Linked DNA regions of Caenorhabditis elegans. The protein of the gene in region 1 interacts with the protein of each later gene in a pairwise test. Each region holds a gene or a part of one and is shown on either strand. Other genes may lie near its edges. The genes, in order: rsa-2, sys-1, rsa-1 and spd-5.

What was found.
Region 2: the proteins of rsa-2 (region 1) and sys-1 interact in a two-hybrid assay, tested with the Caenorhabditis elegans proteins (one study listed by BioGRID).
Region 3: the proteins of rsa-2 (region 1) and rsa-1 interact in binary tests that used the Caenorhabditis elegans proteins (3 or more experiments, as listed by UniProt).
Region 4: the proteins of rsa-2 (region 1) and spd-5 interact in a two-hybrid assay, tested with the Caenorhabditis elegans proteins (2 studies listed by BioGRID).

The regions. Positions count from the first base shown.
Region 1 is NC_003281.10:11,061,140-11,069,355, reverse strand, and holds rsa-2 (Regulator of spindle assembly protein 2), read right to left. Parts: upstream 5,878-8,216; 5' UTR 5,801-5,877; coding exon 5,682-5,800; intron 5,628-5,681; coding exon 5,578-5,627; intron 5,484-5,577; coding exon 5,235-5,483; intron 5,184-5,234; coding exon 4,804-5,183; intron 4,268-4,803; coding exon 4,065-4,267; intron 3,981-4,064; coding exon 3,752-3,980; intron 3,588-3,751; coding exon 2,529-3,587; intron 2,519-2,528; exon of another isoform or gene 2,431-2,518; intron 2,330-2,430; exon of another isoform or gene 2,258-2,329; intron 2,203-2,257; coding exon 1,735-2,202; intron 800-1,734; coding exon 704-799; 3' UTR 597-703; downstream 1-596. Other genes in the region: W09D6.1 (AMP-dependent synthetase/ligase domain-containing protein), read right to left, coding at 1-74, 156-258, 305-498; spat-2 (Protein lilliputian), read right to left, coding at 7,515-7,546. UniProt on the Caenorhabditis elegans protein: Recruits rsa-1 and, thereby, phosphatase let-92/paa-1 complex to the centrosomes. Recruits sys-1/beta-catenin to mitotic centrosomes during the first embryonic cell divisions.
Region 2 is NC_003279.8:9,979,212-9,986,872, forward strand, and holds sys-1 (Beta-catenin homolog sys-1), read right to left. Parts: upstream 5,584-7,661; 5' UTR 5,576-5,583; coding exon 5,501-5,575; intron 5,214-5,500; coding exon 5,029-5,213; intron 3,998-5,028; coding exon 3,685-3,997; intron 3,647-3,684; coding exon of another isoform or gene 3,636-3,646; coding exon 3,528-3,635; intron 3,473-3,527; coding exon 3,395-3,472; intron 3,350-3,394; coding exon 2,814-3,349; intron 2,758-2,813; coding exon 2,532-2,757; intron 2,301-2,531; coding exon 1,974-2,300; intron 1,923-1,973; coding exon 1,418-1,922; intron 1,366-1,417; coding exon 1,283-1,365; 3' UTR 852-1,282; downstream 1-851. Other genes in the region: eif-3.C (Eukaryotic translation initiation factor 3 subunit C), read right to left, coding at 67-300, 349-449. UniProt on the Caenorhabditis elegans protein: Transcription coregulator. Part of the Wnt signaling asymmetry pathway, probably acting downstream of putative frizzled ligand mom-2, Wnt/frizzled receptors lin-17 and mom-5, and dishevelled homolog dsh-2.
Region 3 is NC_003279.8:10,183,751-10,188,557, forward strand, and holds rsa-1 (Serine/threonine-protein phosphatase 2A regulatory subunit rsa-1), read left to right. Parts: upstream 1-2,105; 5' UTR 2,106-2,127; coding exon 2,128-2,227; intron 2,228-2,276; coding exon 2,277-2,446; intron 2,447-2,493; coding exon 2,494-2,605; intron 2,606-2,652; coding exon 2,653-2,741; intron 2,742-2,792; coding exon 2,793-3,019; intron 3,020-3,066; coding exon 3,067-3,168; intron 3,169-3,211; coding exon 3,212-3,329; intron 3,330-3,383; coding exon 3,384-3,467; intron 3,468-3,509; coding exon 3,510-3,722; 3' UTR 3,723-3,800; downstream 3,801-4,807. Other genes in the region: iars-2 (isoleucine--tRNA ligase), read left to right, coding at 1-182; clec-87 (C-type lectin domain-containing protein 87), read right to left, coding at 896-1,079, 1,129-1,495, 1,546-1,696; Nucleolar protein dao-5, read right to left, coding at 4,022-4,180, 4,229-4,807. UniProt on the Caenorhabditis elegans protein: Regulatory subunit of phosphatase let-92 which recruits let-92/paa-1 complex to the centrosomes, thereby regulating microtubule outgrowth from centrosomes and mitotic spindle assembly ensuring the stability of kinetochore microtubules.
Region 4 is NC_003279.8:5,170,265-5,178,363, forward strand, and holds spd-5 (Spindle-defective protein 5), read right to left. Parts: upstream 6,391-8,099; 5' UTR 6,334-6,390; intron 5,273-6,333; 5' UTR 5,258-5,272; coding exon 5,206-5,257; intron 5,155-5,205; coding exon 4,967-5,154; intron 4,920-4,966; coding exon 3,822-4,919; intron 3,775-3,821; coding exon 3,693-3,774; intron 3,648-3,692; coding exon 3,250-3,647; intron 3,202-3,249; coding exon 2,988-3,201; intron 2,945-2,987; coding exon 2,059-2,944; intron 2,010-2,058; coding exon 1,759-2,009; intron 1,709-1,758; coding exon 1,377-1,708; intron 1,326-1,376; coding exon 1,230-1,325; 3' UTR 1,038-1,229; downstream 1-1,037. Other genes in the region: Condensin-2 complex subunit hcp-6, read left to right, coding at 309-395, 497-840, 885-1,037; npp-6 (NUP160 middle TPR domain-containing protein), read left to right, coding at 6,572-6,653, 6,708-7,012, 7,061-7,186, 7,237-7,880, 7,939-8,099. UniProt on the Caenorhabditis elegans protein: Plays a central role in centrosome maturation and mitotic spindle assembly during the first division of the zygote. Required for the centrosomal localization of air-1 and zyg-9. Probably not required in late embryogenesis and during larval development.

The DNA.
Region 1 (8,216 bases):
CTAGTTTGAATTACGTAGCAAATGCTCTCCGCCGCTAAAAGTCCGTTCTCATCGTTTTGAGCGATCCTAGATACCTGAAATGTCAGATTATTGAATTTTTTGAGGATTTATTGATTTTTGTTAAATTATCGATTTTTTCACCACGTAGCACTAACATGTTTTCCGTTGAAAACCAGCGTCGTTCGAAACTTCCGCACCACGTCATCAGTATCGCTCGCCGGCGGGCAAAATGTGAACACAAGCTCAAGTCGGAGGCATCTGAAAAATCGATTTTTTCTGGCTGAGTGGGCGGATTGCCACCTACGCAATAACGGCAACAATCGCGTCGAGACCTCTTTCAATCGATATGAAAACCACGTCGGAGCCGGTGATCGCGCGGCAATTTGAATTCCTGAGAATTTCCGTGAAATTATCGATTTTCTCGAAAATATCCTCCGCCGGAATTGTCGCGTTGCAACCCACATCGATAATTTTCAAATTCCGATTGATTTCCGTCATTTTCTGTGAATGTTTTTTTTTGGGAATTTTTCGGCATATCGATTTTTCCAGTATATGTTCAGCGCTTTTTCGCCTTAAAAGTGTGTGTGAAAATAAAAATCAATAAATAAAATAGTTCATAAAATAGCTAGTAGAATAGTAGAGACCATGAATGATATTGCCGATAATAGTGATAAATAGGCGAAAAAAGTATTTAATTAAAAGCCTAAACATCGGTGACCGTCGCGTCGATTTCAGATTCCAGCACCATTTGTCCCAGCTTCTCCTTTTCCGTCGCATATACCTCGTTGGCTTCGTTGATCTGAGAGAAAAATGGTTGAAACTAACGAAAAATCGATTTTTGATTAAAAAAAAATTAGGCAACTTTTTTAAAGGGAGTGCACCCAGTGGGGAAATTGCTTTAGAACATGCCCATGGGGTCACAATGACCAAATATCATGATAAAAAAATTCGAAAAAATTTTCTAGATTTTATATGACTTTTTGAAAATTGGAAAAATCTCAGTTTTCCCCTAATTCCTTTTTAAATTTCCGCCAATTGGATTCGTTCGGTGGAGCACACTTGCATTATTTTTATTAATTTATTTTATTTTTCTCATTAATTCACTGATTTTCTTCATTTTTTGTGTATTTTTATCGGAAAGACAAAGAAAAATGCAAGATAATTGCAAATTGCTCATTAAAAAATCACTGAAAATGCGTAAAACTGTGAAACATGCTAATTTCAGGCTTGTTGTCGTCAGAACTCATAGTTTTAAAGCTTTACCCGTTTTCAGTGATTTTTTAAACAAACAATTTGCATTTATCTTTATCTTTCCGATAAAAATACACCAAAAATGAAGAAAATCAGTGAAATAATGAGAAAAAAATAAAATAAATTAATAAAAATAATGCAAGTGCGCTCCACCGAATGAATCCAATTGGCGGAAATTCAAAAAGGAATTAGGCAAAAACGGAGATTTTTTCAATTTTCAAAAAATCATATAAAATCTAGAAATTTTTTTTGAATTTTTTATCATGATATTCCGTCATTGTGGTACCATAGGCATGCTTTAAAGCAATTTCCCCACTGGGAGCACTCCACCTTGAAACAAAAAAGCTATATTTTCTTTAAAAAAATTGAATTTTCCCGCCAAAATTTTTCACCGAAATTTTGAATTTTCGTCGCTTTTTTTTCCGATTTTTGTATAGATTTTGTGAGATTTTGTGAGATTTTTCACATTTTCACGTTCCGTACCAAATTCTTATTCGCATAACGTGCGGCGATAACTGTCATCTGCACTTGTTGCCATTGATATTTTTGTTTTTCGGCGTCCGGTAGACCTCGGCGTACATCATATCGATAATCCAACTCCATTGGCATCATTCCTTCAAGTTTCTTGCTCATTTTCACATCGGTGCACCATTCCGATTTTCTCGATTCGGGTCCGTGCTCGGTTTGGAGCATTTTCAACGCCTCCGCTTCAAACGCGATTTCCTCATTTTCAGTCATTTTTCGGCCAAATTTCAGGTAGTTTTTATTGATTAAATCCACCACCGCACTCCAAATAAGTATGGAAAACGAGTCGAAATACTCGAAATTGTCGTCGAACTCCATTTGAACATCTTTAAATGAGGGTGGCTGCCAAACATCTTGCGCTGTAAGCCAGTCGACTCCGCGGAGCTCGTCCTGAAGCTCAATTGCCTTTTGAACCATTATTGGGCTCTGAAAAAGTGCGAAATTAAACATTTAGATGTAATAAGAGAAAACAAAAAAGAATGGGCCGAACCGGGGATTGAACCCGGGACCTCTCGCACCCAAAGCGAGAATCATACCACTAGACCATTCGGCCACGGTTTCCCAAGCTTCTTGGGTGTGTAGACATTTCTGTTGAACAAATTCCGCAGAAATTGACACATGGTGCATCATGTCTTTGCCTCCTGGGAAGCAAAGTTTCGCGGCCGAATGGTCTAGTGGTATGATTCTCGCTTTGGGTGCGAGAGGTCCCGGGTTCAATCCCCGGTTCGGCCCATTCTTTTTTACACACTTACAATCTCTTTCAAGAACTCTCGCTGACAATATTCCTCCATATCCATTCCAGCAAACGTCGTTTCATCGGCTTCCGCCGGCACTCTTGGTGTATCTGTCACTGCTGCCGACGCCGCCGCCGGCGGCAAATTGTCAAAAATCGATTTAAGCCGCGGTGCCGGCGAGTTGTCAAGCAAGAATCCCGAATCGTCAGCGCTATCATTATTGCCACGTGGCTCCAGCTCTTCCTCCAGGCTCTGTTCGAATTCATCGTGATTCACAAAGCGTTTCGTCTCGTCTTGCTCGTCCTCCGGATCTATGATTAGGCCCAGTTTTTCGGGCTCTTTGTGCTCCTCAATTTCATGCTCAAATTGTGTAGCATTCGGGTCCTCCGATCCACCGGATGAGTCTTCTCCGTTGTCTGAAGCGACTAGAGTTTCCGGGGATTTGGAATCAGAATGCTCGGAAACCACTTCCTCCAGATTCTCTGATTCTGTAGTGACTGATACCTCAGACACCACGGGAATCTCCAATTCCATGGATTCAGATTCAGATTCCTGAGCTTCCATCGATTCTCTCTCCTTCTTAACTTGCTCCAAATAGTGCGAAAGTCCTGCAGAAAGTCGCCGCGCCGATTCTGAATCCAGAGAAACTCGGCCACTACGTGGCGTCGTCTCTTCCACAGTGGACGGGAAGCTTATATCAGTCTTCAGACGGGAAAATGGCTCGGCGACAGTCTCCAGGCTCTCATTGTGCAGTGAAATGCTATTGAGCATACTATCAAACTCGGCAATCGTCGACACGGGCGCCGTCATCGAAAGTGTCACTGGTGGCCGCTGAGGTTCGGCGGAAACTTCGGCCAGCACCGGTTCAACCACAGGCGGTGTAGTCTGCGAGGACGAGTTGTGTTTCTCCAACAATTGTGAAAGATCCAACGGTTCAACACCAATTCTTCGGGGACTCGTCTGAGTCATTGCAGACTCGGCGAGCCGTGACGTCATTTGTGTCGATGCTTCTCTCATTGAAGGGGGCGGGGCTGCGTCCGACGATGATTGTTGGTTCAGTTGTGATGATGGATTGATCTACAAAAATCAGATTTTTTGAGATTTCTTGAAAAGATCCGCCTATTTTTATGAAATTAGCCAATAAAGGGGCGGGGTTTCATCCGCCTATTTTAAGCGATTTGAAATTCTCTTAAAATAGGCGGATTTTTAAAAGAAATTTGCCAAAAAACGGCTTAATTTACCTTAACAGCTATGCTCTTTCGACTCGTGTTAAGTGATCGATTGAGACTTTTGCTGTTTCTGTGCAACGTGGCGACATTTCGAAAATGGTCGATTGTGATCTTCATTTTTCGCGCCAATTCCAGCATTTCACGGGCGGTTTGAATGTCGAATTCGCGAAACGGCAACGCCATCCAGTTGTCGATGGAGCGCAAAAGCCGCTGATTGTACGGATCGCCGGAGAATGGTTGGCTGTAAACAAAAACCTTAAGAAGCCAAGATATGGGCGCGGAGCCTAAAGAGCAAAAAAATCAAATTTTTTCTTGGAATTTCTACCTTGAAACGAGTTGATGTATAGCCAATTGTGCTTGAGTAAGCTTATCAATTCGATCCTTTAATTCCTGAATGACCGCCCGTTTTTTTGCGTTCTGCGTCTCCACTTCTATGAGTTTCCGTACAGCCTCTGCTTCATTTCGTCGTTTTTTTGCCTCTTCAGCAATTATTGGTGATCTATTAGCGGCCGCGAGATTCTGTAAGAACTTTGGCGACGGTTATGTAGATCAAACATCCGATTTTACGCGCAAATTCAAATTTCAGCAAATTTTTGGTAGGAAATATTAATTTTTAATTGTAAGTGTGTGTTTTTATTTTATTTTTTTAGAATTTTAAAGTCTTTCGGTGTAAAAATTCAATTTTCTGTCGATCACATGCTGCAACTGCGCTCTGGTGCTAATTTATCATTGGAGCGCATTTACAGTAAGTTTCAGCTCAAAATTGACAGAAAAACGTGATTTCTGCTCAAAAATCTGGGAATTGAGTGAAAAATTAAAATTTCCCGCCGATCGCATGTTGCAACTGCGCTCCAATGTCAAATTCGCATCAGAGCGCACTTGCATTATGCGATCGGTGGGAAATGTGAATTTATACAGATGTTTTTTTCATTTTTTGACAATTTCGAGCGAAAAATATGGATTTTTAATTCAAAATTGGCGAAAAAAATCCAATTTTTCGGCGGAAACCCCCAGGAAAAATCGGGTTTTACTGATTTTTTCGAGAAATTTTCCAATTCCTGTACCTTGATGCTCTCCAGCTTTGTCATTTGACGTTCAACACCAACAACAACTCGATCCGAATACTGTAGCTGAATTTGATGCGTCGCGACGAGGGTATCAACATATGAGGTGCGACGAATCGGTGTTTCCGTGGTTTTTTTCACCAAAGGCGACTCAATACGTGGCACACGCGGCTTCAAAGTGTCAATCGGTGGCGGTTGGGATGAGCTACGTGTCACTTTGGCTCTGGGCTCCAGCTGCTCCGAGCTCTCCTGAATCGTCTGCTGACGGGCTTCATGGGGTGAGTGGCCGGAGATCATGAGCTCCTGCATTCTTGAAAAGTTTTCCTCCATTTTCCGGCTCAGACAAGACGTGTATTGCTCTGATAACGGGGTTCTTGGCACTGAAAATTATGAAAATTAGGTTTTTTTTTGAAAGAAATTCAAAAAATTACAATATCTTGGCGGTTTTGAAGACACCGGCGTCGCATCACTGCTACGTGGCTTTTGTGACTTTTTCGACGTGGATGGAGTGACAAATTCGTCATCGGCGGGCTCCGGTGTGAAGTATTGATCGCTGGACGGGGAGGCTTCTGGGGTTGCGGAGTTGCGGCGGCGGGCGATTCGTAGATCACGAGCTTTATCTTTAAGCCGACGATCTTCGTCGTAACGTTCGTAGTCTTCTCGTGTTGGTTGGGGGTTTGCTGGAAATTTAAAAAATTTTTTAAATTAACAAAAAAATTTCAAAAAAACCATTTTTCCTCATTTTTCCCCAATTTTTTCCCAAAGAAAACCTACCCATTGATACAAAAACCGGCTTCTCGCCTTCCTCCATGTTTTCCTTGTTTCTGAAACTCAGAAAATAAATAAATGGTTGCCATGGGGAATTTCCCCCTGCTTACCTTATTTTTTCGTGGTGATCGCGATATTTCGGCTCGAGGAGCACACTTTTCGCGGGTTTTTCGTCGTTTTTTGCGAGCCACGACTTGAAACTGCCCTTAAATACAGGAATTTTCGACATTACGCGGGGAAAATAGTGCGAAAAATTGATTTCGCGTTTGAATTAAAGAATATTTTCGCGGCGACGCCAGTGTGTGCAAACACCGTCACGCGAAAATGCAGACGGCGAGAGAGTGTGGGGAGACGAGGAGACGCAGGGTTTTCTTTGCTGTTTCTTTGTTGATTAATTGCAGATTTTACAGGATTCTCGGGTCAAAAATAGCGGAAAAGTGGGAAAAAAAACTTGAAAACCCTTAAAAATCAGTATAAAATTGATAAATTATTAAATATACAGCTTCTAAACAGTTTCAAGTCAAAAATCAGATTTTTCAAACTAAAAATGATTTTTACCATTTTTGAAACCAATTATTATTATTAATTACCCAAATTCGATAAAAACTCGCTCGAAAACCGAGATTCCTACATTTCGCAAAAATTTCAGTTCCGAAAAATGCGCGCGTCACGCTTGCAACCGGTAGGACATGCCCACTTTTCCGTGCGCGGTCTGCAATTTTTATCCGATTTCAAAATTTTCTGTAATTTCCAGACAAAGAAACGTCCACTTTTATTATTCCAAAGCGGAAAATCATATAAACGGGGGCTTTTTCTAAACAAACAGACAATTTGGGGGCGGTGGGGCGGAGTCAACACGAAAATTTTAAGTAAAGAAAAAATTGGGATTGAAAATAATAATAATATGAATATTGAAGTCGAAATGTGTGCAGGAAAGGGGCGGAGTATAATTTAACGGGGAAAAATTGTAGAAAACGGGGGGCGGAGAAAGGCAATGAAATGGGCGGTGCTTAAAAACGGGGGCGGGGCTTATGTGTGTGAGACATCACAAAGATATTTAAAAATCGGGAGAGATATGAAAATTGTGACTTAAACAGAGAACGGGGGACCCGATATATATATATTTCATTTTCAACATTTTGAAAATGAATTTGTTGAAATTTTGGGAAATTTTTGAAAAAAAATCACATTTTTTGAAATTTTCAGGAAAAAAAGTTGGAAAATTTTAATAATTTTAGCTTGAAATTTTATTAGAATTGTTTGAAAATTCAGATTTTTGCAGATTATTCCCAAATTTTGGTTGAAAAATGGCTAAAAACTCAAAAATAAAATCTACCAAATTTCAGAATTTCTTAGAAAATAGTGGATGATCGTATGAAAATTTGTGAATTTTGGCTAAAAACTCGAAATTTTTGATAATTTCAGCTGAAAATGAACTAAAAAAAAAAAATGTAAAATCCGCAAAAATCTCAATTTTCTAACAAATTTTGCCTGAAAATTCGATTAAAATCGCCAAATTTTAAATTAAAAATTTCCGGGGGAAAAGGGGGAATATTTCACAAAATTGGGGAATTCTTGGGGGCAAAAAAATGGAAGAAAAAAAACTCGCAACATTTCGAAGAGGAACACATGATAACAGGGAAATTATACCAGAATTACGTAAGGAGAAGAGAGATTTTTTGTTTTTTGGAGAGAGAGTTGTTGTGTGGGGGAAAGATTTTCAGAATTGGATGGAAGGGGTCAAATTTGAATATTTTTGAATGAGGGGAAAGCAATGGGACAAAAAAAAAAGGCAAAAGTGAAGGAAGAACTAAAAATATTTCAATTCATATATAAAAATGATTGAGCGGTGATGATGATTATGATTGGAGAGAGGAATTATAATTAATAACAAACAAAAAAACAAAATCAACGATAGAATTCTCGATTGATTCATTAGACGTTTATTTCTTCTTTGGGACGAATGTGATGGGCTCTGAAACAAATTGGATTATTTTTGGGGTTTTAAGAGAATTTTTCAAGTTTTTGGGATTTTTAGGACAAATTTCCAATTTTTTCTGGTTCTGGACTTTTTGAAGATAATTTTTCGGTTTTTTTGGCATTTTTAAGATAAATTTTCAATTTTTTTTTGGACTTTTTGAAGATTTTAAAAAGGTTTTTTGGCATTTTTAAGAGAAATTTTTCGGTTTTTTGGAATTTTTTAAGAGAACTTTTCAAGTTTTTTTGGGATTTTTAGGATAAATTTCCAATTTTTTTGCCATTTTTTGGAATTTTAAGAGAACTTTTCAATTTTTTTTCGAAATTCGCAGAGATATTAAGGAAAATTTAGTTATTTTTTAGCGATTTTGCTAGCGATCGAAAATTTCTCATTTTTTCAGGAAAAATTCAAAAAATTGCACAGCTTTTTGAAAAATTCCAATAATTTTTTTTTGAAGAAAACAGATAAAATTTGCATTTTTGTAGAATTCTGAATTTCCAAATAATTTTTTTATTGACTAACAATTTTAAAAACTCGAATTTGGGAAAAATTGCAATTTTCGGTCTCAAATTTAGGGTTTTTTTGTGAAAAATCGACAAAATTCATATAAAATTCGCGAAATTCCCATTTTTCCGAGTTTAAACATTTAAAATTTTATTTTCTTAAT
Region 2 (7,661 bases), on another chromosome or scaffold:
TCAACTACTAAGTTTTCATTAGCATTTTATTTTATGATGTGACTGTAAATTAAAAATATATCTCACCTTATGTAAAATCTTGGATTTGCGACATTCTGACGTTGAAAGACCGTCTTGGACTTATCATAAGCTTTGGCCAGAGAATCAAAACCTGTTAGAAGTCTGTTCAGATCTTTGTTGCTCTTTGCATCTCGATTTTGCTTGATAATTCCTTTCAGCTCATCGAATTTTTTGTCCTTTTGGGCACGAACAACACGCTTCTCATCTTCTTCAGGACCGGCCATGAAATCGAGATCATCGCTGAAAGATTAATCAATCTTTTGGAATTACTTTGGAGATTATAATTACCGAAATTTCGCGCTTTTGTTCACTTTTTGATCCTCTACCTCATCCTCGCTGGACGAAGTGTCGGAATCAGAGTCCTCCTTAGCATGGAAGAAGCGAGACATTGCTGAAACAAAATTGACATTATGAAATCCCAAAACAAGAAGCAAACAAGCAGTAGATACACAATTAGACAGAAATTCCAATATTATTTAAAATTTAAAATGAATAAAACGATTTTCCCTTTGAAAACAATTCAAAAAACAGCTAATGGGTCAATATTTAGCTGAAATAAATTTAAGTGGAAGTGGAACATAAGAAAATCGTTGCAAGACCTTACTGGCGCGTTTCGCGTGCACGGGAGATGCGTCAGCACTCGCCACTTGCGCCAGTGGGCATTTGCGCGGAGATTTAAATAATAATTTATTATTTAATCACAATTCCACAATTTCAGGTTAATTTTACAGAACGAGAATAGTCTCTAAATAACTTATATATGAACCGAGTATTCAGTAAATCAATCCAACATTTAAAAAGTTTTATAATTTTATTTTCTATTCAACGTAAGAACATCGAAGAAAGACGTATATAAGACAGGAATTTGATAGTTAAAATGCAAAGATAATCGCGAAAATGTTTTGTATTCAAAAATATTATGCTACAGACGTAAACAAAGAAACAACAAAAAGAAAGAGATAAACCGAGGGCAAAATGAGAAGAAATGTGCTATAAATTAGGAAAATCGGAACGTTTTGTTTGTTCTAAACTCGAATTCATATGAAATCGTCAAGAATGAGGAAATTTGGGACCGGTAGAAAATGAAGAAAAGAAGAGAGAACATATTTTAATCAATAATACGACTATGTACACGCTAAAACAGCTTCCAACTAGACGAATTAATGGCTTTGAACGGGGATTTTTGGGATGAAAGATGGAGTTGACAGATTTATCCATTAAATCAGAAATATTCTCGATTTGAAAAAATACCAGCAAGAAGGTCGTTTTCAGGGAAGCGACTCAGCAGAGAATTCGCGGCTTTAGCTGAAAAAATGCATTGTAATTTAATTTATGAACACATTTTCGAGACACATACCTATATCTGAATTTCTATGATTCGTCAGTCCTTCCAACATCGGCCTGTCAATCGTCCAAATATCCGCACGCGTCGGGCAGTGCTCCAAAATCTTGTCACATACAACAAGCACATTGTGAATAAACGTTGGTTTCACTTGATTTCCGTTCAGCAGATTTAATGGGCAATCAATTGAATACGAGTACTGTGCCACCTCTTTTTCAGCTCCACATTGCTCCATGAGCACAAGCAATAAACTTATGGTACGTTCAACAAGTTGCTGCTTTGTGGATTGAGTTCTTGTATTGTTCGGTTGACGAAAAACCCATGAATAGGCGGCACAAATGTGTCCTATTAAATTTTCCTTCCGATTTTCATCAATAACATTCAGAACACCGTCTTTTGGAACAAATGGTGTTCGGAGTAACAGTATAAAAGATCGGAGAATTGTACTTCGAAGTTCCAATAAACCAGGTGTATCCATTCCTTCACATGATAAACAACTCATCAGTTTTTTCAGAATATCCTGAAATAATTTAATTCATTTTTATATCGTTTTTCAAATTCCAAAACGTACAATTTCGATGAATTTGCAGACCTGCTGCTTTTCATTCGGTCCAGCCGTTTTCGTTTCTCCATTGGGCGTTGGAATCCACATCATCAGGAAATTGTTCAATGTACGCAGACAATTGCAAATAATTTCACAAACTCGATTTCTTTTCGGAGCATCGGTAAGTTCATCTAGTCGTGGATACTTTGAGATTATCGTGTGAAGTAGGAAAATTGCATTGGATCGTATAGCAATATCTTTTACGTGTTGTTTATGAGCCACTACGTTACTCAGAAATCCTGTTCCACTATAGATAACTTCATCATCCGGATGAATTTCGATGAGTCTCAGTAACTGAAAATTTCCGGTTTTAAACAGTTTATTTGAAGGGAGAGAAGTTTTTTTTTAATTTGAATAGACTAAAACTAGCCTGAAACGACCGAATTTAATAATGAAACTTCTTACAAAAGTGAAGTATCACTATGGAATTAGATAGGTTTGGGGCATCTAGTATAATTTTTTAAAGTAAAAGAACACATAAATAATTTTCTAATAGTCCAGTGATTTTCTAAACGTAAAACTTACGAATGGTAATATATTCTCCAATGGAGTCTTCGCCAAGGCTTTTGCATCAGAGACCTGAAGTAAGAGCTTACATCCAGCTCTTATCAAATCATTGTTTGGATACTGTACTACAGTAGTAATTGCTCCAACTCCATCAGACCGTACGAATCCATCAATTGCATCGGAATCATGAAGGAGAAGACCCAGAAGATCAAATGTTCGGATTATAACTTGGATAAGATGAGCTCTGGAAAATTAATATAACTTGTTAGTGATGGAGGAATTTTTCATTTTTAAACTTACAATTCTGGATTTTGAGGTAATGTTTCAGGATTTTGGCCTGCAATCAATCGATACGATCCGATCATTACAGCATTCAATTTTATAATTAATCCTGTTGGCGGAGGAGGTTGATCATGTGGATTATTGTTCCATATGAAGTAATCTTTCAATCGAGTATCCTTGCTAATAATAAATCGAAAAATGATGAAAATTGCTGGATTTATCATTCCCGGGTGTACTTGAGGATTAAAGTACTCGGAGAGAGTGCCAACGAGTTTTTCGAATTTCAAATGTTGAGCGAATTCTGTTCTCAATTTCTCGTTTTTCACTCCCATTATGATACAGTTGAAAATTTGAAACACCTGATTTGCGCAGTGTTTCATGTGAGGATCTTTTTGCCAATTTAACGAAATCAAATTGCAAATCAATTCTCGAAAATCTTGTGGACCATTCTCTCGAGGACAAAACATTTGAACAACTTGATGAATATATGGTGAAATAATGGGTAGAAATGTGAATCTTCGAAGAATATCCAACAGATTATACCAGAGTTGAGCCTGAAAAAATATGATTTGAAATCTGTAATTTGTGTTGAGACTTACATAATATGAAATTGGAAGTTGAACTGGTTGAGGTTTCAGACCATCGTAAATTATGTTAAGGATTTGTTGTACGCAGTTCTGAAAAAAATTACAGATTTTGTAAAAAGAATTCCAACATTTTTGGAAAACTCACCGGCATATTTGCCTGATCAACTTGTGCAAATTTATCTTGTCGTATCCAAGTTCGTATTGTTTTTGCCATATGAAGTCTTTGCATGGGATCTGGTGTATTAAACCATAGCTGAAATTGAACTTTATCAAGATTCATTATTGATTTTTCAATTACAAACCCTAATTGCTTGTTCAGCCGCTTGTGTTATATTCATTTGCATCATTTCAGGATTCACATTTTCACATGTTGAACCATTTGATGAGTAGCATCGCTGAGAATCGGGAAATTGATTTGTCATGGTTGTATTCACACTGAGCATTGACATTCGATCGTCTCCTTGATGATATGACATAACTGATGGAGCAACTGGTGGAGCAGGAGATTGAGAATATGGCCATGCTTGATTGTTGATCCATTGTTCTGTCCGAAATTTTTGATTCTGTGCGGGAGCCGCTGGACCTCGTGAAGGTGACGGTGACGAGTATAGTTGCCTGAAATAAAACATAGAAAGTTTTTAGGTATATCATATTTTATTAAATTAATTATAAAACCAATCTGCAAAATGTTGTTATTTTTTGTTGCAAAAAGGCGTGCGCCTTTAAGGAGTACAGTAATTTTAAACGTTCGTTGACGCAGATTTACCATCGATTTTTCATGGTTTTTTCACGAATGTATATGTTTTTATTGTTTTATTTTAGGTTTTTAGTGAATAATTATATATTTTATTAAAAAAGTGTGAAAAATCTATGAAATTCCGCAGCGAAGGAAGTTCGAAAATACAGTAATCCTCAAAGGTGCAAATTTAAAGAAACAGATGAGAACCTACACTCAAAATAATAAAACTGCGTGGCGTGTACTGCAGAAAACCTAATATTTAGGCCCCGCCTTTTAATCGTCCACTCACGGGGAAAACGCAAAAAGCGGTACCCCAGGCAATATCAGCCGCCGACATCATTCGAGGTCCGCGCACCACACTATTTTTCTCACTGTTGGCGTGGCGAGCTGTCCCCCCCTCCCCTATTTTTGTCTTTTCCCCGTGAGTGGACGATTAAAAGGCGGGGCCTAAATATTAGGTTTTCTGCAGTACACGCCACGCAGTTTTATTATTTTGAGTGTAAGAAGTTTTGAAAGAAATCCTTCAATTACGAAGATTTGGAAACTACAGTACTCCTTAGAGGCGCGCACCTTTTTTTTTAATTGATCGCTTCAAGACCTACTATCGTGATATTTAGGCAAAAAATCTACTTTTTACCAGATAACATTTAAAATTAATCTAAAAATCGAATGTCAATAGCACTCGGAAAAGAAATTTGGCATTGAAATCGAAAAAAAAAACAGTCATTTTTCTTGTACAACCACCACCCATCAAGAAAACGCTCGTTAGCCTCGTTTTTACTCTCCCACTTCCGTCGTCTCCCAACTTTCTAATATCGCCTGTCACACCACGGACGGACGGGGGGCGCAGCCACCAATCAATATGAGGTGTGTCTCTTTAGATAATAATCTTTCTTATAGTACTCACCTCTGCTGTTGTTGTTGAACCTGCTGCTGTTGTTGCGTCGACAATGCTTGAGGAGTCATCTGTTGCTGTTGGGAAGGAGGAGGTTGCATTGAGATATAGTTAGGATGTTGTTGAGGATGATATGGAGGTGTTGGAAGGCCAGGATGGGGAGCTTGATGCCATGAAGGATGAGATGTTGTTGGAATCTGAAAATAAGAATTAAGTCTTCATTTCCGAAAAACTACAAAGAAAACTGAAAAAAAAATCGCAGAAAGGATGAAAAATTCAACTTTTAAAAGCGCGATTTTCAATTTTGGCAGAATTCTCTGTTTGAATTTCCCCCAAAATGGCAAAAGATGAAAATTGCAATTTTAGAAGCTTGTCTTTTCATTCTTTTTCGCTTTTTTTCGTTGTTTTTTTGTGATTTTTCTGAATTTAAGACAATTTTGGATATTTTGAAGCAAAACGCTTCTTTGAAGTTTTTCAAGCTTACCTGATCAACATGATATGGCATCGGATGATGATATGGGCCGGCGGGCCCTCGTTGAGGCTCTCCGGTTGAATGCATTCAGGTCCGGTGCACTCAGTTTTCCAGATGACAGTCTGCCTGAAAAATCGATAATTCAAAATGTGATTTTTATATTTTAAAGGTGATATGATGATTGCGGATTATGAAAAATAGGAAAATAAGAATAAAAAACTAAAAGTAGGCGGGAAAACGGAAGAGAAAACATCAAAAAATGGGCCGTTTTCCTGCAGAATCGTCTCAACATTTGAATTCTTTCGTTACCCACCATTTTCCAACCGTCGCACGGCCTGCACTCTCCTCTTTTTGAGCACTATACACGTGCTCTCTCACTGTCTAACCAGAGAGGGTGTACGCATGCGGATGAATGTAGAAGAGAGAGAGAACGAAGGCAACCGTAGACAGACTGTATGGGACACTTGTCGAGGGTCAGACAAATAAATAGTAGGAAGAATAACGAGACGCAGATTGGTAAGTGATGTTGTGTGTGATTGAATGAGACGCAGAGAATGGTGATGTACGGGGTGAAAAATGGGTGAAGGAGATGAGCTGGTGGTGGCCTACTATCCTACCAACCTAAATAACAACCTACTTTCTATTTTATTATGTAATACATCATGCCTGGAAAGATGTTTAAAGAAATATTCAAAAACGAATTCAAATTCTCGATTGGAATAATTTGATTTAATAGGCATAATGAATAAGGAACATATCAATCAACGAATATGCAATTTTTTTGTTCGAAATAATGAAAAAATTGAAAAATTCCCTGGAAACCCATACAACTTGATGTTTTATTGGTGATCGTTAATGCTTAAGACATGTTTCATTTTCAAAATGAGATTTCTAAAATTTTTGTTGAAATACGAAAACTTCTGTTAGCTAAATATGGAAATGTGCAAGAAGAAACACGGAAAAAAAGAAACTGCGAACACGAAATTACCGTAAACTTAAAGGTGCATACACAAAATGGGTTTCGCGTGGCGAGACCCTTGCGCATTAACGCGCCTCCTCTCTTTAAACTAGTAGATTTTTGCAAGAAACAAACTACTGTATTTAATTTAGAACAAAAAACATGGAATAAAAGGGCACAGTTTCTTAATTAGAGACTAATTGTTTCGCAGCATGACACGTGGATTGCACCTTATCCTCCCACGGTTGTCACCAACTGAAGTCTTCTAGAAGATGGTATCTCCGTGATTGAATAGGTTTAAGTGTAATTATTCAGTAGTTGAGATGGTAATTGGGTGTAAGTTGAATTGTCAACAGAGTTGTATAATAATAATAATAATGTGTAAACAAGATTTCAATCATCAATTCGAAAGAAAACTGAATGTTTTCAACGAAATGGACACCGAATGTCATTGGACAGCTGGCAACGTCGTTCTACGAGTTTTATTAGTTGGCTCTACTAAATATCACTACGATTCAAAAATTTCGAAAAACAGGTGCAAAAATAGATGCAACTGATGACATTGCGAATTTTCGGTATCTCGCCTAAAATTAATTACTATGAGTTAAAAAATAATATAATTTCTCTGAGAAAACCGTACAAAAAAACAAGCAATACACATGAAACCTATACAAATATACTTTGTCAAACAATGTGACATAAGGGACCATAAGGTAGTACTAGAATTACAAGTGGGTTATCAAATAGTGCACCTGGATTGTGGAGAAGTAGGAGGAGGGACTTAGTTTATAGGATTACAGACGTCACTGAAAATTAAAATTAAAACGAATTCTAAGTTGAAAACAAAATTTTATTAAATGCAAGCTCACATACTTAGCAGATTATCAATTTTTTGACAGCTAAATTAAAAACACTACATACCAAAAATTCTTCTTCCAAGTAATATATTCAATATGATCGTAATTTTTAAAAAGTTATGATCGATCGTAAAATAACTATACATTAAGCTTGAAACTTTAGATATCATAAATTAATTCAATATTTTCACATATAAATCATTTCACTTTTGTTCTTTTCACTTGATCCTTTTCAAATTCAAACAATAAATCGTAATTACCCTCCACTATGTCCTTATGAGCACTTGGAGCATGAACAGATGGGCGGAGAGAACGGTATTGTTATCCCCCATCTCCATATAATACAGTAGTGAAATGC
Region 3 (4,807 bases), on another chromosome or scaffold:
AATCAGAGCTGCCAGAATTGTTAAATGTTTCACAAGTGATACTGCATGAAAATCGGGATGAAAATTCTGTTGAGCTCGTGGAAAGCCGGTTGCGATATTGTGAGAGATGCCGGAAGCACACTCGGAATGAAAGTGATGCTCTATGCGGAAGATGCTCAGATGCGATGGGACTTTCTCGTTAAATTAGATGATTTTTGTAGAACATTGTAATTTGATTTATTTTAGGAAAGTAAATGTTTTAATTTAGAGGCGCCACGTTTTCAAGATCTGTTCAAAAACAAGATTTACGAAAACAAGATCCACCAAAACAAGATCTACATTTTCAAGATCTACCAAAACAAGATCTACGTTTTCAAGATCTGGCACCGTGCCAACTGTGGTTTTCTCGAAGAAAACCAAACAACGATGCTCCGATGTTACGCGTCGCGTGTTGTTTAGCGTTCAAACGAATATTTTTTGAAATTTTCTTCTAGAATTTACGCTTAGCAACACGCGACGCGTAGAGAAAACCGCAGTTGGCACGGTGCCAGATCCTGAAAACGTAGATCTTGTTTTGGCGGATCTTGTTTTCGTAGATCTTGTTTTTGAACAGATCTTGAAAACGTGGTGCCTCTTAATTTATGTTTGCACATCAATTTCCCGAAACACCAACTTCTAGCAAGAAAAACTTGACGTCATGCTCGACTTGCTTCAAGCAAAAGAGGTCCTCAGATAGAAAACAGGATTTGATGTTGAAAATTTATTTTCCGATATAAATACATAACGTCTCAAAATTTATAAAGTGAGTGCAATGATTGTCAAACGTAAGGGGGATGGAACCCGGTGACAAATAATAAACGATTAGTTGTGGATGATTGTTTACATGATTAGATTGGTGTCAGAAGTACAGAAGGCTTCACTGCAACGCGTTGACGATGGTCGAATTGCGTTCACAAATGGAGTACAGCATATACGTGCACGGGTAGAAGTACGTGTATGATGCCGATTCCAGGGATGATGGTGATTTGTAGCTGGCAGCACAATTGGCGAGTGATGACCAACCGTTGAAGAGTGGCTTGTATGGTTTGATGAGCCAGTTGCTGAAAAAATTAAATTTAGAAGCAATCAATTGTTGTTGACAAAACCTACATTTTGGTTGGATTGAGAGCTCCTTCAGTCTGCCATCTTGGCAACTGCTCCAACTTCTCGTAATGGGTGAATCTGACAAGTCCGATCCACGAAAAGAAGGCTTCCTTGGCTTGAACACGAATTGCGTCCCACTCTTCAATCGAATTGGCCACGAACAGTGTTGACTGCTTCTCGAAGCAATTTCTCTCGGCCTTGGCGAATCCAAGAAGCTCCTTCTCGATCCAGTAGCACGAATCGGCGAACCGAAGCCATCCATCGGGACACTTCTCAGTCTGATTGACGAAGGCTGGCGGCTGTCGAGCTGGGAACGAGATGTCTTCGAATGCCGTTGTGCCGAGATCCTTGTAGTCCCAGTTGTAGAACGTCACTGAAATTTGTTACTTTTAACGAAAATTTAAAGATTTCAAAGAAACTTACGTCGTTGATGCGGCTGTTCGTCGTTTTGAACCAATGGTGATGTTTCTGGAGCTTCACCACTAGCTTCAGGAAGCTCGGTTGAAGAAGTCGGAGCTGCATGAACGAGGAATAGCCCAGGAAGGATGAAAGCAACGAGAAGGCAAAAACGCATGATGAGCAGTGAAGACTGAGGAAATGAACGTTTCGTTCTCCTTTTATGCACATTTTTGCCGCCGTTTCCTGAAATTTTCACAAATGCGCGCCGCTAATAGACAGAGATCAAATAATAATTTCAAAACAAATCAAGTCTAGAAATATCCTAAACTTCATTTCTGAACTGGTGTTATGAATTTGAAGCACGGATGATGGTTTAAATGTTCTGTAGCACACTGCAGATTTTCATTTATGAAAATATTTAACTTTTAAAAGGGCAAGATCTTGTTTTAAAAAATTGTAATTAATTTTGAAAATTATATTTTGAATAGCCGCCCTTGATATTAACAAAATATGCAGTGGAGCGCACTTAATGCGCCCATTTTCAACAGAAAATAACGCTCGAGATTCGAATTCAATTCTCTCCTCCCTTGCAATTTTCGTGTCACTATGCCAACCGACGAACCTTCGAAGCGAAAATCCATTTTACCAACGATTCCAACATCCCTGATGTTGAAGAAAAGTAACGAAGCATTGAGTGACTTCGAACGTGAGTTGGGTTCAGCGAAAATGTATTATTCAGCGGTATTATCTTTCAGGAACATTTAATGATCGAGTTATGGATATATTTGCCGAAAATCGAAGAATAGATGTAGAGGAGTTTAAAAAAAATGCCGAATGCTTTTTAAACATCATTCGATCGAACAAAATCGATTTAAATTGGGGTGAAGGGGGAGAAAGTAGATATGTGACGATAACTCGATTAATGGTAAGGTTCTCGGTGAATTCAATAATTAAGAATGTGCAATTATTCAGAAAATACTCAAAACTTCACCACAATCAATCAAAGATCTACTTCCACATAACACAGTGTCGAATTTCGTTAAAATAACCAATTATAATTTAACAATTGATATCACTCTTTTAGGTTTGTGCAAAGCAGGGAGTTCTTATTATAAAGAATTTGAATTTCAGAGGAGCTTGTACGAACAGTCATTCACGCTGAGGAGTCCTACATCAAACTTCTTCCATTTTCAGAAAATAGCACAGAGATTTCCAGTTATGTAAGTATCTTATTTCTACTCTAAAAGCTATTATCCTGACACTATTTTCAGAGTCTCCAAGACTTTGTGGCCACACATTTTATTCCAATTATGATTGAAGAACCGGAAAATCCTGTCTATTATACAGCTTACGCAGTTGGAACAATATTTTTCCTATTGGGTGCTCGACGGCGAGACTGTGTATATTTGAAGGATTTACTTGCTTCAACACTTCTACTACAACTCGAAGAGTGTATTCATGCAGAGAATCATTGCTTATCACCTCCGAAAATTGATGTGTATGATTTATCAGTGCCATAAATTGCTTCAAAAAGTCTTTTTTCAGATTCACCGTCGCTCAATTTCGAACCACTTTATCAGAATTCCGATTCCTTGACTCCCAACGAAAGGGATTGTTGGCGCCAGCGGACTTGAAATTTTTCAGAGAGTATGAAGAAATTATTTTTCAGTCTATAAATCCTATTTTTCAGCGGAATCTTCAATGAGGTTTTCACCAAGCGAATCTTCGAAATTTCAATAACCTATGAAGATGGACGTATTGATTTCAAAGCGTTCGTTGATTTTGTCACCGCTCTAAAGTTCCGTCATGTAAGCGATTTTTTAATCAGAACCAAAAAATTGTTCTAAAAAATAAATTTCCAGACCACTGCCTCCGCCAAATACCATTTCGAAATTCTGGATCTAAAGGATGATGGACTGTTGGATGAGGAAGAAATTCGATCAATAGTGAGTAAAACTCTCCAAGAACACTTTCTCATCGCTTAAAAGTCATCATTTCAGCTTCAAAACCTGCCAGATTACGTCCCGGAAGATAATAGTGTGAACCCGGAAGTAGCAACTGCCGAACTGAGAGATATGATGCGTCTGAATCAGAATGGAATTACATTGGAAGAGTTTCTTGCTAATCGGATGAACTCGACGTTTGCTGGATTCCTCTCCAATTCCGATGATTACATGAAGTACGAACGACGCGAGCAATAGCAGTCCCGCTAATTTTATTTTTAAAACTATTCTAACCACTCATTTCGGCCTGCAAGGGTAATAAACAGCTTTTGGACCAAACATTTTATGGATGAGACAAGAGGGAGAAAAACGGAAACATAACAAGTTATATTTGAAGTAACAAAAGTATACAAAACATTTGTTTTGGATCAACTCAGGATTATAAATTTAAAGGGGAAACAAAAAGGAAAGCAACAGACAACAGATAAAAAACGAAGTGTAGACGGGGGTGAGAAACAATTTTGGAAACAAATTAACTTAAGGATAAAGTTAAGAAACTAATCGTCAGAGTCAGAGAACTTGATAGAATTAATAGATTGGTTGATTGGACCACCTCCGTAGCTTCCCTTCTTCTTCTTAGTTTTCTCATGACGGAATGCTTTTCCAACAACTTTTCCTAGGCTTTCATTGGCACGCTGTCCCCATTGATCGAAGTGCTGAAAATAAATCGAGTTAAACTTTGTTCGTAGTCGCTATATGTTTACCGAATCATGCTGGTTGTTTCTAAATTTTTCAGAAACGCTATCCTTTGTCATTTGCACGCGTCGGAATGGTGAAGACTTTCTTTTTCGGTTTTCATAGACCGCCTTTTCAGTCGAGGTAGCCAATGGTTTTGCCTTCAAAGCCGGTGTTCTTGAACTGCTCTCCTCGGTCTCGGCGGATTCTTCAGAGTCAGCACGTTGTGGTCTTGGAGTGACAGCCTTAGATGGTTTTGGAAGATCTTCGTCGTCATCAGAGGAATCAGAAGATTCAGCTTTCTTTAGTGCAGTCTTTGGAGTTGATTTTGCTGGTGTGGTGGCAGACTTCTTTTTCGTTTTCTCATCATCCGAAGAATCGTCTGACGATGAAGAGGCTTCTTTTTTCACAGCGGTTTTTGCAGGTGTTGACTTGGCTGGTGTCTTCTTAGCCGGTGCCTCGTCATCAGAAGAATCATCGGATGAATCAGCTTTTTTGGCAGATTGCTTAGGAGTAGCTTTTGGTGTTGGCTTGGCAGTCGGCTTCTTTTCATCGTCAGAAGAATCATCTGAACTTGAAGCCGCTTTCTCTTTTTTCGGGACAACGTT
Region 4 (8,099 bases), on another chromosome or scaffold:
ATTTGGATGAAAGGGAACTTAGCTTAGATAAATCTAATAAATTAGATTTTTTTTGCACAAGAAAAATTCTTTCGAAACTGGAGAAATAATTTTGGTTTTAATTTTTTGGTTGTTGCAAAATCTGATAATTTTGGGCATTTGTGAACTAGATACAATTCCGAGTGTTATTTTTCGACAGAAAATTATATTAATTTGTTAGTTAACGACAGGCTTTTCGCTCACTTTTGATTGAAAAAAACTACAATGCATAATCGTCGAAAACAATAAACAATACTAAAAAAAACGTCTGAATTCAAAAATTATTCCAGCTCGTCGTAGAAAAACGCCAAATTACGATGATGAAGAGTCTGTGGATGCTGATGGAAAAATATGGAAGAAGCCGAAAATTGTCAACAGTAAGTTATTTTTCCTGATTTCATTGTTCAATTTGCTGTATTTTATTGACCACGCTTTCACACAAGAAAAAATGTGTTTTAAATAATTTATTTTCTTGAAGAATCCCCGGAAAAGGAAGTCAATATTTCGGCCAACGTCACTTTGCGTCGTAGTCGTCGGGGTCAGTCAACAGAGCCACCAGTCGTGAAAGAGAATTCTAATCGAAAACGGAAATCTGTTGACGAGGAAGAGGAAAATGTGCCAACAAGTTCATCTGGTAACACTGAAAATGATCCACTGTCACGCGGAGTGACTCCGTTGATTTTCGATGAAAGTAAGCTTGGTGCAGGACGTCATTGTTCAACTCCGATTCGATCACGAGAAGACGCAGATCCAAGCGATGTCACATTCTCCCTTAATTTGTCGGCTATTACCGAAAAGGAAGACTTGAAAAACAGAAGTAAGGTATTCACAATTTCTTGAATTTACAAAACGCCTTAATTTTACAGAAAGTCAAGCTTATCACCTTCACAATATCTTCGAAGAGGATGAAGAGGAAAGCTGATCAATGTCATTGTATAAATCTTCCATCGAAATTTGTCTTATTTATCTCAACTGTTTGTATTATTGTAAGATTGTCCGCTGTTTTTTCATTAAATTAATCTGTTCCTTTTATTATCTGTAATGGGATTGCAGTCAACTACCAGAAAAGAAGCATTTAATTCACAAGTACATTGATAGATGCATTAGGTGTATCTTTAGGCTGGGAAAACAATACAATCGTTACAAGTTAATCTTGTCGAGATGATAGTGTTGATAAAACTGGTTCCATTTTAATACATTAACAGATCAGTTCACTTTTTGCGAATTTCCTTCACAGCTCCTCCCATATCAGTTGCGATTTTGCCAATTTCCGTTTTGATTCTGTCTTGAAATTCGACACCAAGTGTCTGAAAATGATATTTTTCAAAATAGATTTCAATAGAAAAAGAATTTCATACCGGGATGGCGGATTTTGTCAGTTTCAGTTCCTTTTTGTACTTCTTGATTTGCTCCTCAAGCATCAAGTTATCCTGATGCAATTGTCCGAGATCTGTGATCAGTTGATCGACGGTCTCGTTCTTCCAATTGGACATATCGATTCCTTTGAATAGAATGAGCTTCTGATGGAGGAAATCGCGAAGAACTCTGGATTCATTGATGACGTTGCCAATCGTCTCCTTAAGCTCTGGACCCATTCCTGACATATTGTGAGTCTTCTTGAGTTTCTGAACAATTGCGTCGACAGCCATAGTTGATTCGTGGAGCAATTGTCGAGTAGGGCTCGTGTAATCTGGAGAATTGGTGAAAATTCAACTTCTGATGTGCATAAGTATGACTTACGAGGTTGAGCACACTTTTGATTCGATGTTTTAGTAGGCATGCCACTGACCGATGTTCCAACTGGTGGGACATTCTCGTTATTAGAGCTCATCATTTTCAGCTCATGTTCGAGAGCATCTTTCTCTAATTGAAGCTTTTCAATTTTTTCATTGACGTCTCTCATAACTTTCGCGTATTCATGCTGTTGCTCTCGTTCCCTGGAAAGACGACGACAGAGTTCATCGCAAACGAGTTGAATCGATGAGATGTTGCTGAAAATGTTCTCAAATAAAAAAAAACAAGCACGACGTTTGATAATACCTTGGGATAATCTTGGCTTTCAAAGTCTTCTTGGTTAGCTCAGATATCTCCTTACTGATACGTTCCAATCCTACAATAGCGGCATTCTCAAAATCTTCGCGATACTTCGCCAACTCAATTTCCTTCTTTCTTTCTGTCATCTTCGTAGAACAATAGTCGGCCGCAATTTCTGAAGTCGACAACTTCTCCATCTCAGTCTCCAAATGAACAATTCTTTCAAGCATTTCAGATTTCTCGGATGAAGCATGTTCAACTTTATTTTCCGCCTCTTTTGTTCTCATTCTCCACCCATTCAATTCTTCACTCAACTCATCTGCTAGATTTTGGGATTTTTTTTCTTCCTCCAGCGCGGTAGATAACTCGCTTTTCAAGAATTCATCGCTCTTCTTTGCTTCATTCAATCGCATCCCCATATCAGTAATGGTTTTCTTGAGCTCATTTTCCTCATGTTTTAGAGAACTGATGAGCTGACGAGCCTCTTCCAATGCATTTTCAGCTTTGACACGAGTCTCCTGTTCACCATCCACACGAGCCAACGCTTCATTGAGCTCGCATCGCACTTCTCCAAGCTTAGAATTAACTTGATGGAGATTGGCTTCGAGTTCAGCAAATTGACTTTTCAATGTAGAATTTTCCTCTTTAGCCTTTTGTAGCGTTGCTTCAGATACTTCGAGATCTTCAAACATGCGATTGGTGTTGATCTGCACATCCGACAATCTTCCAGACGAACCGTTCAATGGAGATCTCATATCTCGTGTACGAGCCATCTCCAATTCATTTTTCAACTCCGATACCTCATTCTGAAGCTTTTCCACTATGTCTGAATTGCTTGTAAACTTGAAGAGTGGACTATACGAGGCATTGAGAAGAGAAGATGAGGCGACATCTGGAAAATATTGATTTATGAGCGTCTCTAAAATTTATATTACCTTCAGCATCGGGTGCAATAGTGAATCTTCTCGAAGCTTCCGCAGCCTGACTAACTATCGACTTCTCGAGAATTGAGAAATTGAGTGACATATTATGAAGATCCTTCTCCGCTGCTTCCAAGATGGCAGATACATTGAGCTTGTCGTTAATACTTGTTTCAAATGCGAGCTTCATTTTCTTGATCTTATCCGCATTTGGATCACTGGATCCCATCTACAAAAAACTCAGATTTACAGATTCACAACTTGACAGTTTTCATACCCTTTCAAGAATCTCTTCAAAAAGAGCAGCAGAAGATTTAAGTCTTTCGAAAAGTCGAGCAAGAGCCTCTCTGATCTGGGACATTTTCTCTTGCATTTGCTCAACATTTACAGCTACATCATGCTGGCCTTCAAGGAACATTGCAGAAGAATCCAGAATTTGTTGCATATCGTGCAGAATTGGAATGTGACTTTGTGACACGTGAGGAGAAGCAGTCTTCGTAGAAAACGAATTATTCTGTATTTGTTCGCCAGCTCCCTCGGATTGATGGCTCTTCAGGTGAAGATGAAGTGATTTTGGTTTCTGCATTACAATCGGAGAATTCTTGAAAGACTTCTGACTGAGGAACGATTGAGTTGCATCTCTACCAGGTGGTGGCATTGACGAATTGAAGGAACCTAACAATAATCAATTTCAAAAAATCTAGGAATCAATTTTACTACCTTCAAGGGTGTCATTATGGTTGTTCTGCAGGCTGTCTTTCACTGACTCGAAATCTTCCCACATGGAGGCAAATTGTTGCTGCTAAATATTCAAGACTTTATTTTAAATAATAATTTTCATACACTTACATTTCGAACAGCAGATGATGTATCCATGAGCGGCAATTTGCTTTCTTCAAGATCATCTAATTGACTTTCTCTGGGAAGAATGCGCATCGATGTTCCGCCAGTCTCATTTCCTTGTCCAATGCTATCGACATCATTAGTCGCAATACCAGCCATCAGTCGACTTTGTCCCAGTGAAATGCTAAGATTTCCATCGCCTCCGGTCAATTGATCACAACGAATGCGGAGTTCTCGATTTTCAGCTCTCAACACATTCAATTCACCGTTCACCTTTCCTATTTGGATTTTAAGCTCGTCGGATGTCTGACCACCAAGCAACATGGAAGAAGAATCAAATGTCGAATTTTTAACCATGGTTCGAATCTCGTGCTCAAGCTTGCTACACTTGTTCATGTATTCAACGAGTGCCTGACGAGCCTTATCATTTTCCTTCTTCGCATCAGCTAACTTCGTTTCAAGATCATCAATGTAATTGAGCTGGTCTCGCGTCTGTGATTCACGACCGTTCCCGATCATGAACGTTGAATTTGGAACCATAGCGTTTCCAGCAGCTCCGAGGATTCCTTGTCCAGTGGCCGCTTCAAGCTGAGCGCGAACATTTTCTGAATCGGCAAGCCTTGCAGATTGGTCGTCAAGTTCTTGACGGAGCTGCTGAATGTGATCTTCCAGCTCAGCTACCTTGTCGATCTCAGAGAGGAGCTTTGCCTCCAGGTCGTTGATCTTTCTTTCTTCATAACCAGAGGTTAATGTGAAATCTGGATCGTTTTTCTTCAGAATGTCATCAAGAGTTCCACGAAAAGATCCGACAGTTGTGTTGTTTGCATCAGTAGCGGACAATTCCAGTTCCTTGATTCTTTCCTCCATTGCATGCTTTTGTGCCTCAAATTCTTTCATCTGTCTGGCAAAATTGTCTTCGGAAGTTTCAATTCTCGATTGCATTGCTAGCAAATCCTCTTCCATCAGTTTGTATTGCTCCATTTTCTCTTGAACATTTTCTTGGCCTAATTTGAGATCGACATAATCGTCCATAACTTCCTTAACTCTCTTCTGCGACGCTTCCTTTGCCTCACTATACCGGCGCTGATACATTTGCAGTTCTCCCTACAAACTCAAATCATTTCTAAATAAGCATATGATAAATTACTTACTCTCAGGATAGTTATTTTTGTTTTAAGCGCTTTGTTTTCTTCCCATGTTTGGATGATGGGGATGCTACGAACATCAGCAGACGAAAATGCTCCTGACAATACTTGCTGTTGAGTGGCACTGGTCGAAGACGTTCTTTTGTCTCCTTCAACATTCAGAACTGGTTGCGACATAGATCTTCGTGGCTGGCCTAAAAAACCTTTGCATTTATGCAGTTATTGATTTTAAATGTTATAATTACCCTCGACATGCTCGAGATTGGAGTCCTCGTTGAGCACAGAATTATCCTCCATTTAACGCGAAGTTTTCTGAAACAAGAAACGGGTTCGAAAACAAAATTGAGCGTTTTTTTGGGATTAAGAGTTTTGAGTCAAAATGAACAGGAGGTTGCAAAATTTGAAGCTTCAGCACCGTTCTTTGGGCGTGCATAATCATGAAAAACAAGTGCGGACCAACTTTTGTTACTATGGAAACGTAAGAATTTCGCGGACGCGGAGAAAATTCAAAATTCACGTTTAGGCGCGCGTTTTTCTGAGGCCCCACGAAAAGGGGAGCAGAACGAAAAGGGGATCTGCAAAAAGGGGAGATACGAAAAGGGGAGCAACGAAAAGGGGAGCTGGCACTGTGCCAAACGCACAAAACGCAATTTTTCTCACGCAACGCACGTTGATTTTTGAAATTTTCTTCTAGAAGATACGCTTAACAACACGCGACGCGTAACATCGGAGCCGATGCACCATGTTTCGGATCGGTATAGGTTCAAAAGTGGTAGAATTATATAATTTATTACTGATAAATCCGTTAAATGATAAAAATGAGAAAGCTCATATATTTAACATGCGACCTGCCGGTCCAAGAGTAAAACGAAGAAGTGACGATTTCCTTGCGTGGTGTCGACGTGTTGGGGTTTGATGTGCATGTGTGGTAGTACTGTAACACGCGTGACGTGTGTGTCTTTTGGCGCGGCTTTCAAACAGGAGTTTCCCGGCTTTGTCATTGTTGATGACTCAGTATTCTGCGTATTCGCGACAATCGTTGTATCGTTTTCTTCGAGAAAAATAGCGTTTGGCACAGTGCCAGATCCCCTTTTCGTTGCTCCCCTTTTCGTATCTCCCCTTTTCGTATCTCCCCTTTTCGCAGATCCCCTTTTTGCAGATCCCCTTTTCGTGGGGCCTCGTTTTTCTTGACAGAGAAAAAGTGTGCGCATGTTGCGAAATACCATGCGGCGGTATTGCTCATGCAGCCACGCCCCTTATTTTTGAATTCGAATGGAGCTCCATATGGAGGCGTTTTCGGCTCAATTCATCATTGTTTTGTAAAATTTTACATCGCAAAGTGTCAAAATATGAAGCTTATTGTAAAAACTCACAAATTTCTAACAAGTTTTTCTTTGAATCCAATGAGAACCTTCTCGATAAGTGATTAAAATTTAAAGTGAATTGTTTTCTTCCATTTTTTCACGTATAAAAAAACGTATAAAAAACAAGTAAAACAAGTTCACGCCAATGAAAAATTGTTTTTAACGATATTTAAATATTTTTGAACGTGTTTATTTCATCTCCATATTTCTCTTTTGCTTTAACATCGTGTTTTATGCTTAATTTCAGATGGAGCTGGTTTACGGGTCGGAAATCAGCTTCACGGATGGATTTGCTATAAAGCCGGCTAGAACTTTTGTGGTAAACACCAGTAAGTTTCAATTTCATTAAATAATTGTTTCTACAACAAATTTCACTTTTTTAGATGCGCCGCTTCATTCGAATGGATTTGATGTGCAACCGTCCGCAGGAGTTGCAACATTTCCGCACTGCTCAAATTACGGCGATCGGATTTTCCTGTGGCGTGCGATTGGCCAGAAACTGTTCATTGAGGAGCGTTCTTTGCTCTACTCAATCACGGATGGATCGTTGTGCATTGACTTCACACGCACACCTATTATTCCTGGAACATCGATAACAATTTTCGAGGAAGGGGTTTTATGTATTGTCGTTCCCACAGCTTCTGCAATTCATCGTTTCTACGCGAGACTCCACTCCAAAGGCCATGATGTTTGTTCTCAAAAATTTCCATAATCGAATGAGAATAATTATTTTCAGACGTTCTCAATTCTTGCAAGAATTAAAGAAGATGACGATTTCCGCCGATTCAGAACATCTCACTCCCTTTCAACACCAGGGCGCCCGATTCGTGCAAGTGTTACACATCATCCTTCAAGAAATACGGTATAAAAATGGAAATTGATTACAACCTATATTTCGAATTTTGAATTCAGATTTCTTACTGTACCGCTGAAGGGCAGTTGGTCATTGTCACATTGGGATCATACACGGAATCCAGTGATAAACACGAAGAATTCACAATGGGAGAAGTTGGTCTTCTGGGAAAACTTCTAGGTGGCACTGATAAACGAGTCAGTGATGCATGTGTTATGAAGAATCTTCGCCCGACTTCTGGAGTCACGAGAGAGCGAAAAATTTCAGTCCAATCCGATATTGTGTTCGCTGTTACCAGAGACGGATGGGTGCAAGCATGGAATGTTGAGACGAAAAAACAATTGCCAAGCACTATTGACTTGAATAACTACTTTGCTTCAGACGGAAAATCTTTGAATCGAGATCTAGAATCTGCAGACTTCGAGGAAGAAAAGTCTCCAATGGAACCAACTGAAACTGTATATTCTATCAGAGCTTATTCATTCGATGTGGATATTCTTCTGATTGTTGGATGTGATTTGGCAGTTTCGGGAAAAAGCGTCGGGATGAGAGTTCATATTCTCAAAGTTTCAAATGATCAAATTCAACATCTACAAATGTTCGAAACATCGATGTCCGTTGATGAACGACTTGTTGATCTCGAGCTTATTCAAAACTATTTCCCATCAAAGGAATCGGAAAGTCTTGATGAGACACAAGATGGGTAAGAATCGTTGTTATAAAATGGGTTTTTTTCTTGTCTAAATATAAAATTGTTTCAGGGAATTGTATAATCCTCTCACAGCTGCACTATTTTCACTTTCTGCTCTTTTCAAAAGTTCATCTGCAAAGAAAACCTATTCGATGAAACGGATCTCATTTGCTATCCAATGGAAAAAGGGACGAGTTTTCACAGATTTCGATTGGCATTCCGTTCGTCAGT